3 linked regions of the Saccharomyces cerevisiae S288C genome follow. The protein of the gene in region 1 interacts with the protein of each later gene in a biochemical or structural test. Each region holds a gene or a part of one and is shown on either strand. Other genes may lie near its edges.

Region 1 (8,784 bases):
ATTTCCATTCTAAACAAATGCAGTGGTGCTTATGGTATTTTAGCATTGTTCACGGGTCATCCGTTGGATTTTATGCAATGGATAGCATATCTTTGGTCGGTATTTACATTAATCGTATTCTCACAAGGGCTGTATTTGATTCATAAGCCAAACTTGCTGGTATTTTCGCAAATCTGCGTACTTTATACAATCGATACCATTTCCACTTGTTTTTTTACTCTATGGTTTACCACGCAATGGTTCACCTTGGAAGACACTGCTAATATTGATGGAAATAATGCACTACAAAGTAACCCAATATCGACAGGTAAGCTGACAGAACGTGGTATTGATATAAGTAAACAAAGTGCAACTGAAAGCTACGAATATACCATGACTATTTTAATTACGTTGGTGTCATTGATATTCAGGTTCTACTTTAACTTCATTTTGGCATCTTTTGTTCAAGAATTGTTACACCACCCCAAATATTTAGTTGATAGGGATGACGTAGAACAAAACTTGAAAAACAAGCCTATTTGGAAAAGACTGTGGGCTAAGAGCCAAAAAGGTTGTTATAAGCTATGTAAGAATTTGTTAGAGTAAATAGTAAAATAAAGCCCTAGCGTTATAGCGTTTTACACTGATGAAGAAATGTTTCTATTCTGACATCATAAAATCATTCTCACTGATGCTATTGTCACTTTTCATCACGTGTGTATTTAAGTAGCTCTTACGTAATTTTGAAAAAAAAGGAAAAAGGAAACTATATAGCACGCAATTCCCTATTTGGTTGCAATTCAATTCCGTGAAACCCTTTTCTTTTCTAAAGTGATAATAAAGTAACTTTGCAATATAATCAGGTCGCAAATATACCCACAGATAATAATCTACCATGCCTGCTACGTTAAAGAATTCTTCTGCTACATTAAAACTAAATACTGGTGCCTCCATTCCAGTGTTGGGTTTCGGCACTTGGCGTTCCGTTGACAATAACGGTTACCATTCTGTAATTGCAGCTTTGAAAGCTGGATACAGACACATTGATGCTGCGGCTATCTATTTGAATGAAGAAGAAGTTGGCAGGGCTATTAAAGATTCCGGAGTCCCTCGTGAGGAAATTTTTATTACTACTAAGCTTTGGGGTACGGAACAACGTGATCCGGAAGCTGCTCTAAACAAGTCTTTGAAAAGACTAGGCTTGGATTATGTTGACCTATATCTGATGCATTGGCCAGTGCCTTTGAAAACCGACAGAGTTACTGATGGTAACGTTCTGTGCATTCCAACATTAGAAGATGGCACTGTTGACATCGATACTAAGGAATGGAATTTTATCAAGACGTGGGAGTTGATGCAAGAGTTGCCAAAGACGGGCAAAACTAAAGCCGTTGGTGTCTCTAATTTTTCTATTAACAACATTAAAGAATTATTAGAATCTCCAAATAACAAGGTGGTACCAGCTACTAATCAAATTGAAATTCATCCATTGCTACCACAAGACGAATTGATTGCCTTTTGTAAGGAAAAGGGTATTGTTGTTGAAGCCTACTCACCATTTGGGAGTGCTAATGCTCCTTTACTAAAAGAGCAAGCAATTATTGATATGGCTAAAAAGCACGGCGTTGAGCCAGCACAGCTTATTATCAGTTGGAGTATTCAAAGAGGCTACGTTGTTCTGGCCAAATCGGTTAATCCTGAAAGAATTGTATCCAATTTTAAGATTTTCACTCTGCCTGAGGATGATTTCAAGACTATTAGTAACCTATCCAAAGTGCATGGTACAAAGAGAGTCGTTGATATGAAGTGGGGATCCTTCCCAATTTTCCAATGAGCGCGCTACATTACAGTTAATGCCTCCAGCAACCTGTAGTGCTTCTTTAAACCGATCCGATACAGCTGAAACAAACATTGATTTTACTAATTTTCATATAATATATACACATATATCGAATGATAATGCAAAATATAATTTAATGAAATTGGAAATACTCGGAAAATTTATCATTATCCTTTTCTTCTTTTGAACGTAAACTTCGGACCGTCGTCATCGTCGTCGTCGCCATCACCGTTATTAGAAGCCCCAAAAGAGCCACGTGATCTACTAGTTGCGCTTCTACTGTGTCTACTTTGCTTGGAACATTCTTCTGACAAGTTTGGCCGTAAGTTCATTTCCTTCACCACAAAAAGATTACGATTATTTTCTCTGTGATTTAGTCTATCGCTTTTATCATCAATATCACCCAGATCATCTTCATCAGTAATAAAAATTTTGTTTTTTAGTGGTTGAACGCTGGCTGCAGTACCTGAACAACGAGAAAAAGAAAACGAATCTTCTTCTCCTTCATTTGAACTATCCTCATTCGTGAATCTGTTTAGAGCTTGAGATCTTTTCTGGATAGTGTTTGAGTTTATATTATCGGACATAAATGTATTCGATCCAAATCTTTCCATCTCCGTCAAAGCAAACATATCTTCGTTTTCTTCTGTGCCCCATTTTGTAGTTGTATCCTTTTTGGAGTATTTTTTTAACGGAACATAATTTCTAGTGATTAAAAAGGCTGCATTTCGTATAAAATCTGAGCTTTGAGTGTTATTTTTACCCTCTTCTTTGTGCGCCTTTGATTTTGGACGTACCTTGACAAAAGTCTTGAAATTCTTGCGTTTATGCCATTCTGGCTCCATTAGGCTATTTTCCCATTTTTCAGTTGTTCTGCTTGTTTTGTTTCCCTCACTATCAAATGATTTCCTCAGTAAATTGTTACTAGGTTCTACAATAGCCAAATTTTTTAGCTGATTAATAGCTTCCTCGCTCAACTCCTCATCCTTCAATTCAACAATGGTTGACTTAACTCTTTTGACCTCTCTATTTTTAGTTTCTTGAATAGCTTCAACAAATGCGTGCGGCGTACCAGATTTCTCTTTAATAGATAACTCTTTTACAGGTGACTTACAATTTTCTTGTAATGGAGATGAAATTTCTCGTGAATAATTAGAAAGTTTACGGATGTTTTTAGAGGGTTGCTCTATATTCTGGTGATGATTCACCCTAAAATTCTTAGTAACTTCAGCATCATCCATCGAATTCACAGCAGCTGTTTCATAGTCAGCGGAGTTCGAAGATATGGTTTGAGAGCCAATCCCTGCTACCTCCGGCAATGACGGCTGTGGTAACTTATGTGACTGTAGCGACTTATCCAACGAATCCTCACTCGTGTTCACAGTACCTAAGTTGGGGCTACTGACAATTATAGCACCAGGGCTACTGTGACCACTTTTCTTTCCAATATCTTCAGTCGGCTTTAGTGCGTTTTGAAGAAATGGGGCGTGCTTTTCATCTGCCTCTGCAATGTTGGGACTTGAAATGACAGTCTTTGATTCTGCGCCACAATTAAGTCTCTTAGCGTCAGTTAAAGACCTATTTTCTGATAGAGTCTTAGTACTCAAACCTCCAGCAAAAAAATCAAGACTATCGAGTGGTAGTACTCTACGTCTATTTAATTTTCGCTTCTTCGAGACTACTGGACTAGCTTCAACTTCAGGTGCACGAGATGTTTTCAAAATAGTAGACATTCCTTCAGAAATTTGATCAAATTTACCGTTATCTAGAGTTCTTGAAGATGCACCCTTCATATTAATCACTGCGCTTAAGGTGCCATCTATTATTGATGTTAACATCGTTTTGATAGTACATAGAATTTTCCCATTTTCTTTCTTATCTGTAGTTGTCAAAATCAGGTATTCTGTTGATGCTTCCAAGCTGTCAACATATTTATATAAACTATCAATGTTGTCAAATGCAAATAAATTTATATTGAACGTCCGCAGGAGAGATGATAGACGTGGTTCACTTTTGATAGTAGTTAACACTCTGATATTATTCAGCCTCATAAACTTCGAAAGCAAAATATTTGGATCAAAATCAAAAACATTGTACTCCGGATTACTAATCATATCGTTCCACATTTCATCAAATTTTAAATTAGTTTTAGATGTGGGAAGAAGAGTATTACACAATTCCATCAGAAACCGTGATTTTTTCATGGGTATAGTACTAACAAGGGCATACAATTCCCGTATGCTGTTGTCCTCGCTCTTTGGGTAATCGCTAATCATCAGATTAGCGGGAATATCATTAATAGAAATCTCAGTGGAGATACCATATTCAGAAAGCATCGTCCTGAATTGTGTCAAATGAGGAGGAATGTTCCAGACTTCATTTATCCATTCGAACTCTATACGAATAGGAGTTGTACCCAGTTCAATTATTGTGGACTTTAAAACGTCCGAGGCATTAATAGTAAATGTTTCGCCAACTTTCATGAATTTTTTATTTAATGATGTCAATTTACCCTTGTTAACTAAACACAGGCTACTGTGTTTCAGATCCGAACTATTATTGATTTCCCATTTGAATGTGATATGCTGTCTGGAAATACTTTTATCATTTTTAATTATCAGTGGGTTTTTACTTGATCTACCTATACTATAAGTTTTGAAGGCCTGAAGACAACATGATATAAAGCTAATAGAGCCATCTTCCAATGTATTCTGGTATCGTACTACCCACATAAATTTATAGTTATCACCTTCTCAGTATTGTTGCTCATCTATTACAAAATTCTGCTTATTTGGTTTACGCATTGCTTTTCATAGAAAAAAAGGGCTCCCCATATAAATTTAAGAAAAGTACTAATATTTAGCGTAGTTAACAACTTTACGAAAATGAAAATGAAATATTTCTCGGAAAAGTATTATATATTATACACGTCTCTACATTCCAAATAATTCTACGTTTCTTGGAGTAGTCTTAAGTTTAGTGATGACGATGGCGTTGTTAGTATCTATACCGATTTCAAATGATTCTGGTTTTGTACTGCTATAGTCAGAGATATTTGCCTCCACCAGCTTACAAATTGCTTCAATACAATAATGACACCATTCTACCGCAATTTGGGCATTATAGTTAAGTTCCTTTTTATTTGTAGGTAGACCTGGGTGATTGAATTTCTTACATAATAAGTCCCTTGAGTACCATTGAATGTCTAGTAATTGACCGCTATGACTGTCCCTCAAACCTATCATGATATCTGAGTTCGGTAATAAACCCGTCTGTACCCACGTTTTCAGAAGTTTTCTCCTATGATTGGAATTGTGCATTGATAATGGGGCAAAACACTTTAGTTCTGTGTTTGTCTCCGAAACAGGATTGAATGCATCCATTTCGCAGCGAATTAAAAGACCAATTTCTTCTGAAAGTTTACTCTCTACAAGAGAAAAAATAGGACATTTAGAGCCAGTTAAATCAGCGACTTTGGAATTTTCGGTTACCCAATTTTCAAATTCAAATCCTGAATAGCAAATTTTCTTCATATTTGGATCATTTGAATAAATGCCCTCTTTGGACATTTGAGAATCTTTTTTTACATTTCTGCAAAATGAAAGAAGGCCCGCCCCCATATAAGTTACAATTAGTGACGTTTGTCTATTTCGCCTGTTAAAGAGATGCATAGTCAAATCTACGATATGATGTCTTGTGGTTACAACAGTAAATTTCTTGCCGATCTTAAAATCCTTACCAGGATTATCTAGTATCCAGTTCTCAATGTATGAAAAACACGGTGATACACTATCTAATTCGGATATTGTCATGGGAACGAACTCATCAATATTAGCAAATAAGTCATGGCCTAAATACGGGACTTTCCGCTTTTTTGCCTCAAGAAGCGAGCTTTCATACAATTCAGCAATACTTTCTTTCAAATTTGGTATAAGGTCTTTGCGTAGGATTGTATAAGCCCGGCCATTGGTAAACAGAGCTACTTCTTTACTTTCATGAAATATATCTCTTGGTGGTTTCGTCAAAAAATTGTGCATACCAGTATGCAGAAAAGACGTATATGGGATACATATAAGTTTCGGACGTCTCTTTCTATAATTGTCTCTCTGTTGTGAAGGCTTCCTTGACGAAGATGAATCAGAAGTAGTTTTCTCTTTGCATAATTTACTTTGGTGTCCTCTCTCGAGATTGGGCACAGTAAGCAAATTTATACCTTCTAAATCTTTGGCCAATCCAAGAACAGCATCTTGTTCAGTTGACATAACTGAGTTTGGCTAGAAAGAAAACTTTGACATAAAATCATCGATACCTACAACTGGCGCTGTAATGCAACAATGCCATTATAAAAGTAAAACATGCTGCGAAAATTGCGGAAAAACTGGAAAAATCAATAGTGGGGTAATCCCAGTTAGTTTGACACAATAATTTGGTGATTTTGGTGGAATAATCATTATTTGTGAGGATACACCAACGAAAAGAACCTTTTGTGGTAGTATGGTCCAACAATTGTATTTGCAGGTTGGTACTAACAACCTCTATAAGTAGACGATACAAGAGTGATCATATGGTAGGACACTCAGCTCAGCACAGATCAAAAAGCAGCTTAGTGTCTCACCTACTAATACTACTTATCTTTATAACGATTATTATTGAAATGTGTTTATATAATAAAATTTTTAAGAACCAAAGGTCGGATGATATTAGAGACAACTTTAACAATGGCGGACATCGAGTTCCCAGTAATGTCCAAAATCATGGAACCCATATAAGAGACGAAGCCTTTATATCAGGGGTCTATTATTCCAATTGGTCCCCATACAAACCGAGGTTTCATTTCCCTCACGACATAAACTTGAAGCAAGTGTCTCACATTTACTATGCATTTTTCAAAATAAACTCTAGAACTGGTGGTATAGAAAACACGGATAGTTGGTCTGATCTAGAAATGAATTTGTATAAATCGCTGGCAATTAAAAATTCAGAACTAATTAAAGAAAGCTCGAACAATAGTGTCCAAAACATCCTACCCTTAGGTTGCATTGGTGAACTATTTTATTTGAAGAATACCTGTTCTGATAAGAAATTTAAAGTTATCATGTCAATTGGGGGCTGGTCTGATAGTGAAAATTTCAAAATCATAATTAAAGATGATAAACTCTTACAAAATTTTGTTGATTCGTCGGTGGAAACAATGTTCAGATTAGGATTTGATGGCATTGATCTAGACTGGGAGTTCCCTGGTAACAATGAATCAGAACCTCGCGGATATCTGAAACTGGTCAGAATGCTGCGATTAAAACTAAACAGCCTCGAATCCCAAATATTTGGGAAACGTACTGAAGATCATTTTCAATTATCTATTGCGGCACCTGCATTCAAGGATAAATTATTTTACTTGCCAATCACAGAAATTGATCAATATGTTGACTACTGGAATATGATGACGTACGATTATTATGGCTCGTGGTCAGAAACAACAGGATATCACAGCAATCTATTCAGTGAGACGGAATTGAATGGAAACTTTGCCATGCATTATATGATCGATAGATTTGGCGTCAATTCTAGAAAATTAGTACTGGGAATGGCCGCCTACGGAAGAAGTTTCCATATCAAAGATAACAAATTCGAACCATTCAATCAAAATACTGTATTAATTAACAAAATTTTCAAAGGAGTGGGCAAGCCCACTAAAGAAATAGATAAAGCTGATGGCAAGGAGGGCATCTGGCCTTACAAAAATTTACCAAAGATTGGTACAATAGAACAATACGATCCAAAATATGTTTCAGCATATTGCTTTGATGAAAAAAATTCAATATTTATCAGTTATGATAACACTAAATCAGTCAAAACTAAGGCTGAATATGTGACACATAACAATTTAGGCGGAGGCTTTTGGTGGGAGTCATGTGGTGAAGCTTATGCAAATGAGTCAAGGTCGTTGATAAACGCATTTAATGAAGGCTTGCACTTTAATGTGTCATCAAAACCATCAATATTTCAAGATGTGAGAGTTAAAAAATATTACTTGAATAAATATGGCGATGGCGGATTTTTATCTCCATATTTAAAGCATTTGGATTCAAGAAAGCAATGAATACGAATGTGGGCGTATATAATAACAAAAAGTTTGGTCTATTTATTATCCACTCCGTATATGTATATACATATATACAAATTTCGTTTATTAATGTTAGAGGCTTATAAAAAAAAGCTTGACTTTTCCTTATGTTTCAAAGAGAGGATTTTTGTTGTTATTTTCATAATAGCATATCCATTCTTGAAAAGACTTCAAATACACCAGCAATAACTTCCAATTGTAAATCATGACCAGGATTGTTTTCTATCTCTTCTTTAACTTCCTTGTTTAAATTAACGGAGACACCTAACTCAGTTTCCTTTTCTAAATCAAATGGGTATTGCGAAAATTGTGCCATTATTTCTTCAGCTCTACTAATTGCCTTATCTCTCTTCTCATATTCCAACGTAGTCAGGACATTCTCCAATACGTTTGCCCCATATGATCCACATATTAAAGCTAAAGTTCTAATGATTTTGAAAGATGTTGTCTCCGGAAAATATTCATTGTAACTTAATTCCATGTTCCTCGATACGAGTACAGAAAGTACTCTGCGCTTAATGGCTTCTTTGCAGCTGGCGTCTGCAATGGGGTGTGTCGCCATGTCAAACAAAAAGAAATTTTTCATTTCTGTTCTCAATACACCTTTATCGACCAAACCTTTTGCCAATCTTTCCCTTACTTGTTTCAATTGATAGTTGATCTTTAAAAGGTTCCATGTTTCACCACTTAAAAGATCAATCCAGTTAGAAATTGACAAAGGTTCGTCGTTTTTCATCAATTGCAAAGTTTCATCCAGTAAAACTTCCCCAGTTTTGGAACTGTCAATAACTTCAATCAACCTTTCGGAAAGATCGAACCTTTTCCTGGCGGAATCATCTAA
Region 2 (5,098 bases), on another chromosome or scaffold:
TTCATTCATTAAGCAATCCATACGTCCATTCATTCATTCAGTTTTCTTTTTGTCTATTACTGTCATTTTATTTTCAAATCCAATTGTCCTTTAGGACACTAATGTGTTAAAATATCCATTCGCTCAAGCATTTTTAATAAATAGGAAAATACCGTTTGTTTTTCTTTGTCATTTGTATAAATTTTTCTACTGGTTCCTGTCTTGGTTGGCTTTATTATATTTAGGTTTAACTTGTACTAACAATGATACATATTTGTATATTTTATTATAATATCATATCTAACTATATCTAAAATCGTTGAACTATTCAGAATGGAATTGTACACCAAGAAGAATTATGCTATAACACCATAAGGTCATTACATTTGGGTTTTGACTGCTAATTAGTTCGAAGTCGGCGTTAAAATTTAAAGAATATTTATACATATGAATATGTATATGAATGCAAAGTATGCTAAAATATTTATAAAGCAAAAATCTCGGTGGGCTAAACTAGGTCAAAGCAGATGTTATGAAGATATTGGCCCCATTGTAGGGATCATCTTCTCTCCGAATTAAGATGCATATTTTTTGAGAAAGTGCTTCTTCAGGTATATCGTAAGGTGAAGTACTGCTCTCTTCACCTAGAGGTTCCACAGCATCAAACGGATTTACGTACCTTGGGGGTATGAAAGCCGAATGTAGGTGGATAGATTCAAACTGGAAGTTTTCTAACCTACAGTAGTTCTTCATACCTCCTATTGGATAGAGGGTGATATTTCCACCTTCGGATTTTTCGTAGTCAAGATTTCCAGATAAAGTGGTACAAAATACTTCAAAATCACCCTTTCCGTCCCTAGCGCTAGTTGAACCATAAATGAAGTAGCGCCCGTCATCCGATATCTCGAGTATTTCTGTATCCTTAGTCACGTTTAAGAACTTAGTTTTAAAAGATACAACCGGGATTTCGGTCAGAATGTCCTCCAGGAACGTATCTGCTATAACCAGTTGTTGCACATTCTCTTTGTCTGCCATTCCAGATATAAGTATTAGGCCTTTATTATTCAATGCTTTTATGGAAACAACAGATTTTAGGGAATTTCTGATAGGTTGATTTCGACTTTCTGATGTCATACCGTTGGTCTTGGAGTACTGTAATGTCATGTTTGTAATATTAGTGAAGACTATTGCCATTGAATCACCATTTCTGTAACCTAAATAAAACACACCGGTGTTCGTTTTTTTTAAAGGTGATAAAGCATCTTCTTGTAGACAAAATGATAGGGAAGTAATGTCACTCCTACTTTTGTGTTTTCTTGAGCTTTTGGCAGGAGAAAAGATATAGGGATTTGGAAAGGTTTCTGGAATCAAATCATAAAAATGACAACGATAATTTACGGTAATAATCAACGTGTCTCCAACAACAAGAGAATCATGGACTTGGCAATTTTCTTTGAGTTTGACCTGACGAATTTTGAGCAGTTTTAAGGAAGAAAAGTCTTGTAAAAAGATGGCAAAAGTATGCACGTTAGATCTGGTATTAACGTTGTGATAAAAATAATGGCTCGGCCCTTCCTTGATGGCAACTGTTCTCTCAAGTTTCATTGTTTTGAACACATCAGTTGGCTCGGACTTATATTTCAACATAGGATTTAATTCAGCCATGGAAAACCCCGTAAAGAAATTTTCTTCAGAAAAATTATCCAGGGATGAAAATCCTGCGACATAGCCCTTGTTTGTTGCAAATACTAATTTACTATGAAAACATCCTTCTTGAGTTACCAATAAAATACAATTTGCTAATACTCCTATCTGTATCCTGTGTGGAAAATTGAGTGATTTTACGTTAGCAGAACTATGTGAGTGATGACCTTCAGTGAGAGAATGCGATGCATACTGCATATTTAAACCAATCATGTACTTTTCATATGATAAAGGGCGAAAAGCCCTTTCCAACGGATTCAGAAGACTAAGCTTGTACTTTTGTAATGTTTGCTGACGTTTTTTTTTAATCATAGAAAATTTTTTATCGTAATTTTCCTCAACACATTGTCGCTTTATATTATCTTTTCTGTACTGGTTCGTCGTTCCCGTGGTAGAAATGCTTTGATTTTCAGATATGCGAAAATAACGTCGACGTTCTCTATCATAATAAAACCCTGGTAAGTTAGGTGTCATTTGTTTAACGTCCGTTAACTTCCCCTTTCTGCTTTACCAACTGCTGCTTATTTATTCGCCCTTTTTTGTTTTCCATTGTTGTTCATCTCATTGCCTTTTTTTATTTTTCAGTTTTTCCCATATGCCAACGAGGAAAAAAGCCCTTTCAACCATACCAAAAAAAATGTATTTGAAGTAATGAATAAAGAATGATGATCGCTGGCGTTTAACATCTAGCATATATCTGCAATAATTTATCACTCCAGAAGAAACATCCATCGTCAACAATTTGATTTAATTGTTCTCTTTTGAATACATATTCTCTCTCGTACGGTGGGATCTTGTTATTGCTTGCCATTAAAAACCTATATTTTGTCTTTCTTCTGATGATTTCCTGGGATTTCTTTTTGTCCTCGTTCCCTTCCTGAGTGGAGGGAAAATCCAGTCTTCCAAAACCTGGGGGGGATTTTGATCTATTCCTCAAGTTATCAAACGCAAATTCGTAGTCCGAATTTTGCGATTCTATAACTACTGACAATGATCTGTGTTTAGAATCCTCTGGCTTTCCAACTTGGGCATAAAATCGCTCCAATTTTCTTCTTCCTCTCTTAACCGGGGCGATATCTTCATTTGGTCTAAAGTCTTCGAGAATCCAGGCTCGCTTTGTTAAAGGGTTCGTATTGAAGTCAAACAGGAAATTATCCTTAACATTTTTGTATAAATTTGGCGATGTAGATTCAGGGTTCTCGAGCTCTATTCCCAATAGTTTTCTTGTTTTGTTCTCTTTATCATTATCTTTTTCGTGGATTACAGTATCAGAGCAATCTTCCAAATCGCTTAAGTTGTTGAGGCCATTTAAAGGCGAACTAAACTCCGAAATTTTCCGTTTATGCCTATTAGGTGGCATAGTAACCAGCGGTAACTGCACAGTGTGTTTATTTTCATTACGATAGTGAACCTCTGCTGATTCTTTCTTTATGTCCTCATCAAACTGAGTAAGGATGAAATCTTCAGAATCTTGCTCACCTGGCCCCGCAGACGTCTGAGAGGATTGTTGAGGAGCATTTTTTTCGTGACATAGAATTTCAGCCAGTTTACTGTTAGGTTCTTCGAGAACACATTTATTCCGATTTTGCAGTGCTTGAACACGTTTCGCGATTAAGGTAGTCACGTCATACTGCACATTTAGTAGTTCATCGAGACTGAGCTCCTTGAGAATGGATAAGCTTGACTTTAGATACACATTTTCTTCACCAGTCACCATCTCACATACAAACACCTAATGGCTTACAGCATGGATGGAAATGCAGGTATGTGAACGATAACAATGTTTGCAAACGTAAACAAAAAAGGTATTAAAGCTTAAAAGCTTTTTTTTTGTAGAACGCGCTTAGAAAATGGCATAAAGAAAATGGCTATTTGACTTGATTTTGAAAGTTGTTCTCAAGACTCGAATGGTGGAAGATAACAACAGGACGTTTATTACATGGCATTGCATCAGTATTTATCAGAGACTTATGGGCCCACGAAACCCAAAAATAAGACGAAAAAGAAGAAGAAAGAGTCAAAATCAGACGCTAACTCAGACAAAACTTCTTTGATAGTAAAAGAACGGCTAAGTACACTGCAACAAGAACAGGAGAAGTCAGGAGTTGCTTCATTCAGCAAGTTTGACAAACAAAAAAGCAAGAATATATGGAAGAACCTGGAAACAAACGAGCTTTCCCATGCAATAACACATCCTTCCGCATCGTCAATTACTGGCAACGAAAGCAAGAACGATCTAAAGGAAATCAGGGCTCAAGAGCCACTTGTCACAGTAGCAGACAAATCGAAAACACGAAAAACCATATACAGAGACGCTCAAGGTCACAAGATTCAGGAAGATTCCAAGATAGACGATTCTAGTTTTAGTCGATCTAAATATGAAGATGAGAAAGCCGCGGAAAGAGAGCAATACCTGAAAAATTTGAATATGGGAGACGTGCAAAAGCTTGGAATAAATGTAGATGCACATGATAAGAAGAAAAATCAAACTGCCTCGAGTCTGACGATAGAAGACCCTGCAATAACATTTACACATGACAAAGAAAGAACTGTAAAAACATCTTTACTGGGCCGCAAGCTTTATGATAAGCCAGCACCTGAGAACAGGTTTGCCATTATGCCTGGGTCAAGATGGGACGGTGTCCACAGATCAAATGGCTTTGAAGAAAAATGGTTTGCTAAGCAAAATGAGATCAATGAGAAGAAAGTGCAAAGCTACACCCTACAGGAGGATTATTGAAAATGAGATAATATATAACTATGCGGAAAGCTTTGTGTAAAAAATACCCTTTGACAATCCCCATTTGTTATAAGCTTTTTCTTAACAAGATCAACGATTAAATACAAATACCCCTCTTTATATAGGTCTCAGATATACTATTAAAGTAACCTCGAATATACTTCGTTTTTAGTCGTATGTTCTAAGTAGATTCGTCTTTTTTATTATCACGGTCAGCAGCATTGCTTTGTGACTTTGGCGATTGACATTCAGTAGAGTTTGTGCCAGAAGAAGGTTTAATCTCGCCTTTCCTACTGTTCTTTGTTTCTCCCCCAATAGTTGAACCATTGCTGTGCTGTTTACCATTAATGAATTTTTTCAAATCTTGGCTTTCCTTTTCATTGACAACAATACGACTTCCTTGATCTGAAACATTTGTCATAGGAGGTGGAGGTGGGAAGGAAATCGGTTGTCCAAACCCATGTGGTGCTGGTGGCGGAATAGACATTCCATTCATATTAGGGTAAGGCATCTGGTGAGGGTGTAATGGGTGAAGACCATTAGGATGCGTCATAAAACCTGGGGGAATATTGTACGGCAAACCAACATCTGCAACATCATTCGCTCCAGGAATAGGACCCCCAACCACATTCATTGGGTGAGGTGGAGTTGGGATATTCAAATTACTGCCTATAC
Region 3 (5,194 bases), on another chromosome or scaffold:
TTCTGTATATGCAACGTAGAAGAAAGCAGCGTTTACACAAAAATGTCAAAAGTGTATGTTATTATAAGTTTTGAAAGGGATTTCAACATATACTAACAAATTCTTGAAATGTACCCTCACTGTCCTATTGTAAATCAGACCAAGAAATTTTAGGTTGTTAGAAGAATTAGAAAAGGGTGAAAAAGGGTTTGGTCCAGAATCATGTAGTTATGGTTTAGCTGATAGCGACGATATTACCATGACCAAATGGAACGGCACTATTTTAGGGCCCCCTCATAGTAATCATGAAAACAGAATCTATTCCCTTTCTATAGATTGTGGCCCAAACTATCCAGATTCTCCCCCAAAGGTCACTTTCATTTCCAAGATAAATCTACCATGCGTCAATCCAACTACGGGGGAGGTCCAAACTGACTTCCACACCTTACGTGACTGGAAAAGAGCCTACACCATGGAAACTTTATTACTTGATCTTAGAAAGGAAATGGCAACCCCAGCGAACAAGAAATTGCGTCAACCGAAGGAAGGAGAAACCTTTTAGTTATCTACTTTTTCCTAAACAGTATTTGCAGCATTCCAAGCCACTCATATATACAAGCAATAAGACATAGATATCCTCTTATTTAGGTAGTAAGTTTAATTACTTTCATAATATGAATTTACTCACCCCATGCCGAGAAGTTACTCGTGCAATTCACTACGATAATGATGTATATAGTTGTATTATCAATCCTTGCAACGGTCCTCATCCGGGCACACGAAGGTAAACCCTTAGATCTGCTAAAAAACAGACGACAGAAAGACTGTTGCACCCAAGATCGATAAATTTGTTCTCCAGTCCAAGCCAATAATAAATATATTGCAACACCAATCCACATTCTTCATGGGTCAAGAACGCCCCGGAGGGGTTCAACCTCGACGAGATACTGTACGTGTTACGAATGGCTGTTAAATTTGCGTTACTGTTATAAAATAACACTAAAATAAGAAATGGAAAGTAAATAAATAGTAAAGGAAAGTCAAATAAAGCAATGAATGCTGCATTGATCTGCCTTTTATAGCTAAGAAAAAAAAAGAGAAAAAAATAATAAGTGCGGGTAACCTCATGCATTGTAAAACGGTAGGGCTACAAGGCACTACTTACTCTACGCTATAGAAGAAGCTTCAAGACATGGTGTTGTTCTTATTTGAGCGAACTCAGCTGTCACCGTTTCGGGAAACTCTATAGTTTTCTGCGTTTCAGTACGCAGTTGGGCGTGCTAAAGTTGTTTTCCTAATTTGCTAGTGTTCACTTGCTCATTGATGTCCCTAAAAGGTAATGTCGCATAGTAAGATGTATGTCCCATATCAAACGCATTCCTAGAAAAACATGCACTGAATGAATAAGCAGTTACTTCGATTACTAATCTTCACAGCATAATTTTTCTCTTATCTTGTAAACCTCTTTCTATCTTTTCATAAAGTTTGTCACTTATATTTCTTCATTGGTACATCAATGCCAGCAACGATGTGCGCATCTGGGCGACGCCTGTAGTGATTGTTTTCAAGGTATCGAGCCAAACTATTCATCGTTACTGTTTCAAATATTCAGTTGTTTCAGTACAGAGTCGCCGTGGACCTAGTGAAACTTGGTGTCTTTACAGCGCAGAGACGAGGGCTTATATGTATAAAAGCTGTCCTTGATTCTGGTGTAGTTTGAGGTGTCCTTCCTATATCTGTTTTTATATTCTATATAATGGATAATTACTACCATCACCTGCATCAAATTCCAGTAAATTCACATATTGGAGAAAATGAAATTCATTTCTACCTTTCTCACTTTTATTTTAGCGGCCGTTTCTGTCACTGCTAGTTCCGATGAAGATATCGCTCAGGTGCCAGCCGAGGCCATTATTGGATACTTGGATTTCGGAGGTGATCATGACATAGCTTTTTTACCATTCAGTAACGCTACCGCCAGTGGGCTATTGTTTATCAACACCACTATTGCTGAGGCGGCTGAAAAAGAGCAAAACACCACTTTGGCGAAAAGAGAGGCTGTTGCCGACGCTTGGCACTGGTTAAATTTGAGACCAGGCCAACCAATGTACAAGAGAGAGGCCAACGCTGATGCTTGGCACTGGTTGCAACTCAAGCCAGGCCAACCAATGTACTGAAAAATGACCCTAAACTACTTCTAAACCCTCTCGATTTCTTTCACGTTCATACAACACCTAGTTTTATTTATTTTCTTTTCAATCTGAGTAGTTGAGTTTTCGATCACTCACATAGAACTATTTTTTGCCATTTAAATAAAGTATTCTCTCAAATGATGCGATACTATAATACTCTTTGCCATATATTACATTCATTCATAAATAGGCTATGTTTCTATATCCGTTTCCGATTCTGTCTGCAAGCAAGGTTCCCTATCATTACCGGATTGTTCACTATGGTTGGAGCTCTTCTTTTCCCCTGCACTTGCATCAGTCTCAGATTCAGAACCAGAAATGTCTCCGTAATCTTCATCCGATCTTCCTGCTGATATTTGAATACCATTGTCTTCTAAAGACACTAAATGTTTTTGAACATCACTGCTACTATCAGATTCAAAACTTATTGATTGTGTGTCATCTCCAAAAGAGGTAATATCATCGTACTTTTCACTGAGTTTATCTTTAGCAGTAATAATTGGCCTTTTAGAAAGTCCGAAAAATTGAAAGTCATCAAAATCGTCGTCTTCCATTTTGATCACGGATTGATTAGATATTTTTCTATTAGCTCTCCTCCGACTTGTGTCTTTCAACTTCTTTTGTAAATTTTGAGGCTCTACTACCGTCTTTCTTCGTTTCATTCTTTTTCCTGGAGAGTTTAACTCAGAAATTGGCTTTTGCACTTCCGTATTAATAAGCGCAGAATCTAAAACATCATCGTCAGACAATTTGATATTATTTTGTCGCAGAATCTCATGAAGCTCTCTTATTTTCTTCTTCTTCTCATTCAACAAGGTTACCATCATTGCTCTGGTTCTTTCATCACGTGTTTCTAAAAGCTTATCCAATAGCTCCCTTTCCCGAGCCAGCTGTTCAACTCGATTTCTATTGCTAGAATCGCTCTCCTTTATATTCCGGTAAGAATCGTTAACACAACAGATATCTTTATAGAGTTTATCTGCCATTTCAAATAAATCAATCTCTCCCTTTTTGACTGGATGCAAGGTAAGTTCAGCGATTTTTCTTATGATCGCCGATGACTCCAACTCCATAACTACTTTCCATACCTCATCATCTTGCATTCTGCACGTCCATTTTGTGAATACGACTTTTTCGTCTAACGATGCAATGTACACTTTGTGACCAGTTAACATTTTGAGTAGTTCATACCACACATATTTCTTAGACTCTTCATCGATATTTTCTCCCGTAAAGATTCGCAAATCATTGATTCCAAAACTGCTTTTGGAAAAAATTCCTGTACCTTCACTTACCAACATTTTCTCTATTCTAAGCCCTGAAAGACTGTTCTCATCTAATGTTTCCAACATAGCGCCATCTTCAATCTGAATCTTACAGAGGCCACGCTCATCTTCTTCATTTTGTTCTTCATTAACCACAGGGATACAGCTAATGAACTCCGTCAGCTGGGACATAGCACCCTACATAAATAAGTCATCCAATGCACAATTCTCTCAGTTCTATGCATTGACACGTCGAAAACTGCCGTTCATCTTATTATTCTTTAATATGGCTTTTCAAAATACGCTTCCGGGTACTTTTTCGGATTCATTAATGGTGTAATTAGTAATGCGTAGAAATATTTTGTATATAATAATAAATAACATGTTTGTCCAACAACTCGTAGGCTAGGCTAAACGTGAAGTCTTTCTGTTTTTGAGAACAACAGTATACATAAGTGATATCCAAGAATGACTGAGATACTACCACATGTAAACGACGAAGTGCTACCAGCAGAGTATGAACTTAATCAGCCGGAACCAGAACACTGTCCTGGTCCAGAATCAGACATGGCAGGTAAGTCCGATGCTTGTGGTGGCTGCGCCAATAAAGAAATATGTGAAAGTCTTCCGAAAGGCCCTGATCCAGATATTCCATTGATCACAGATAACTTGTCAGGAATAGAACATAAAATATTGGTTTTATCAGGCAAAGGTGGCGTAGGCAAGTCGACATTTGCCGCAATGCTAAGTTGGGCACTTTCAGCTGACGAAGATTTACAAGTAGGTGCCATGGATTTAGATATATGTGGACCTTCTTTGCCACATATGTTAGGCTGCATTAAAGAAACCGTCCATGAATCGAACTCCGGTTGGACACCTGTCTATGTGACTGATAATTTAGCCACCATGTCTATTCAATATATGCTTCCAGAAGACGATTCCGCCATTATATGGAGGGGTTCAAAAAAGAATTTATTGATAAAAAAATTTTTAAAGGATGTTGATTGGGATAAACTCGATTACTTGGTAATCGACACACCGCCCGGAACATCTGATGAGCACATTTCAATAAACAAGTATATGAGAGAATCTGGCATAGATGGTGCCCTTGTGGTCACCACACCTCAGGAAGTAGCTTTATTAGATGTACGGAAAGAGATAGATTTCTGTAAGAAGGCTGGTATCAATATTCTTGGACTAGTGGAAAATATGAGCGGATTTGTATGTCCAAATTGCAAAGGAGAGTCCCAAATATTCAAGGCTACCACAGGTGGAGGTGAAGCACTTTGTAAGGAATTGGGCATCAAATTTTTGGGGTCTGTTCCGTTAGATCCGAGGATTGGCAAGAGTTGTGACATGGGTGAAAGTTTCCTGGATAACTATCCTGACAGCCCAGCTTCGAGTGCTGTACTTAACGTTGTGGAGGCTCTGCGAGATGCTGTGGGGGATGTATAGTATATTTTATCAAAAAGAATAAAAGGAAGTGCATTAGAGGTCAAATCGTTTTATAATATAAATATCATTACCTTTAAATCTTAGACCTACTGAAGAACACTTTTACCATATATAATGCTACTAATTACTCCAAAAGCGTTAGCTTCAGTCCATGTTTTACTATTTTTCTTTTTTTTAGAAATAAAAATAAAAAAACTTATATCTTATATGTACACTTCATTAAATCCTGGGCAAACTCACCCCTCAAGTATGCCTTTTCTGGCTGCCCTAGGGGGAGCTCAAGCAATTTGGCCTTCGAATCGC

What was found. Proteins that work in one complex are often made in the same cells at the same time.
Region 2: the proteins of XRS2 (region 1) and SAE2 form a complex in vitro, tested with the Saccharomyces cerevisiae proteins (3 studies listed by BioGRID, with this or other methods).
Region 3: the proteins of XRS2 (region 1) and LIF1 form a complex in vitro, tested with the Saccharomyces cerevisiae proteins (one study listed by BioGRID).

Annotation. Positions count from the first base shown.
Region 1 is NC_001136.10:1,213,030-1,221,813, forward strand, and holds XRS2 (Xrs2p), read right to left. Parts: upstream 4,552-8,784; coding exon 1,987-4,551; downstream 1-1,986. Other genes in the region: KEI1 (Kei1p), read left to right, coding at 1-585; trifunctional aldehyde reductase/carbonyl reductase (NADPH)/glucose 1-dehydrogenase (NADP(+)) YPR1, read left to right, coding at 875-1,813; DXO1 (Dxo1p), read right to left, coding at 4,753-6,081; CTS2 (putative chitinase), read left to right, coding at 6,384-7,919; VPS74 (Vps74p), read right to left, coding at 8,083-8,784. UniProt on the Saccharomyces cerevisiae protein: Component of the MRN complex, which plays a central role in double-strand break (DSB) repair, DNA recombination, maintenance of telomere integrity and meiosis.
Region 2 is NC_001139.9:170,923-176,020, forward strand, and holds SAE2 (ssDNA endodeoxyribonuclease SAE2), read right to left. Parts: upstream 3,401-5,098; coding exon 2,363-3,400; downstream 1-2,362. Other genes in the region: YGL176C (uncharacterized protein), read right to left, coding at 493-2,157; BUD13 (Bud13p), read left to right, coding at 3,623-4,423; chromatin-binding exonuclease XRN1, read right to left, coding at 4,605-5,098. UniProt on the Saccharomyces cerevisiae protein: Endonuclease that cooperates with the MRX complex in processing meiotic and mitotic double-strand breaks by allowing the endonucleolytic removal of SPO11 from the break sites and ensuring both resection and intrachromosomal association of the broken ends.
Region 3 is NC_001139.9:341,753-346,946, reverse strand, and holds LIF1 (Lif1p), read right to left. Parts: upstream 3,629-5,194; coding exon 2,363-3,628; downstream 1-2,362. Other genes in the region: E2 ubiquitin-conjugating protein MMS2, read left to right, coding at 43-53, 139-541; YGL088W (uncharacterized protein), read right to left, coding at 746-1,111; MF(ALPHA)2 (Mf(Alpha)2p), read left to right, coding at 1,794-2,156; NBP35 (Fe-S cluster-binding ATPase), read left to right, coding at 3,905-4,891; nucleocytoplasmic transporter NUP145, read right to left, coding at 5,088-5,194. UniProt on the Saccharomyces cerevisiae protein: Involved in non-homologous repair of DNA double-strand breaks. Stabilizes DNL4.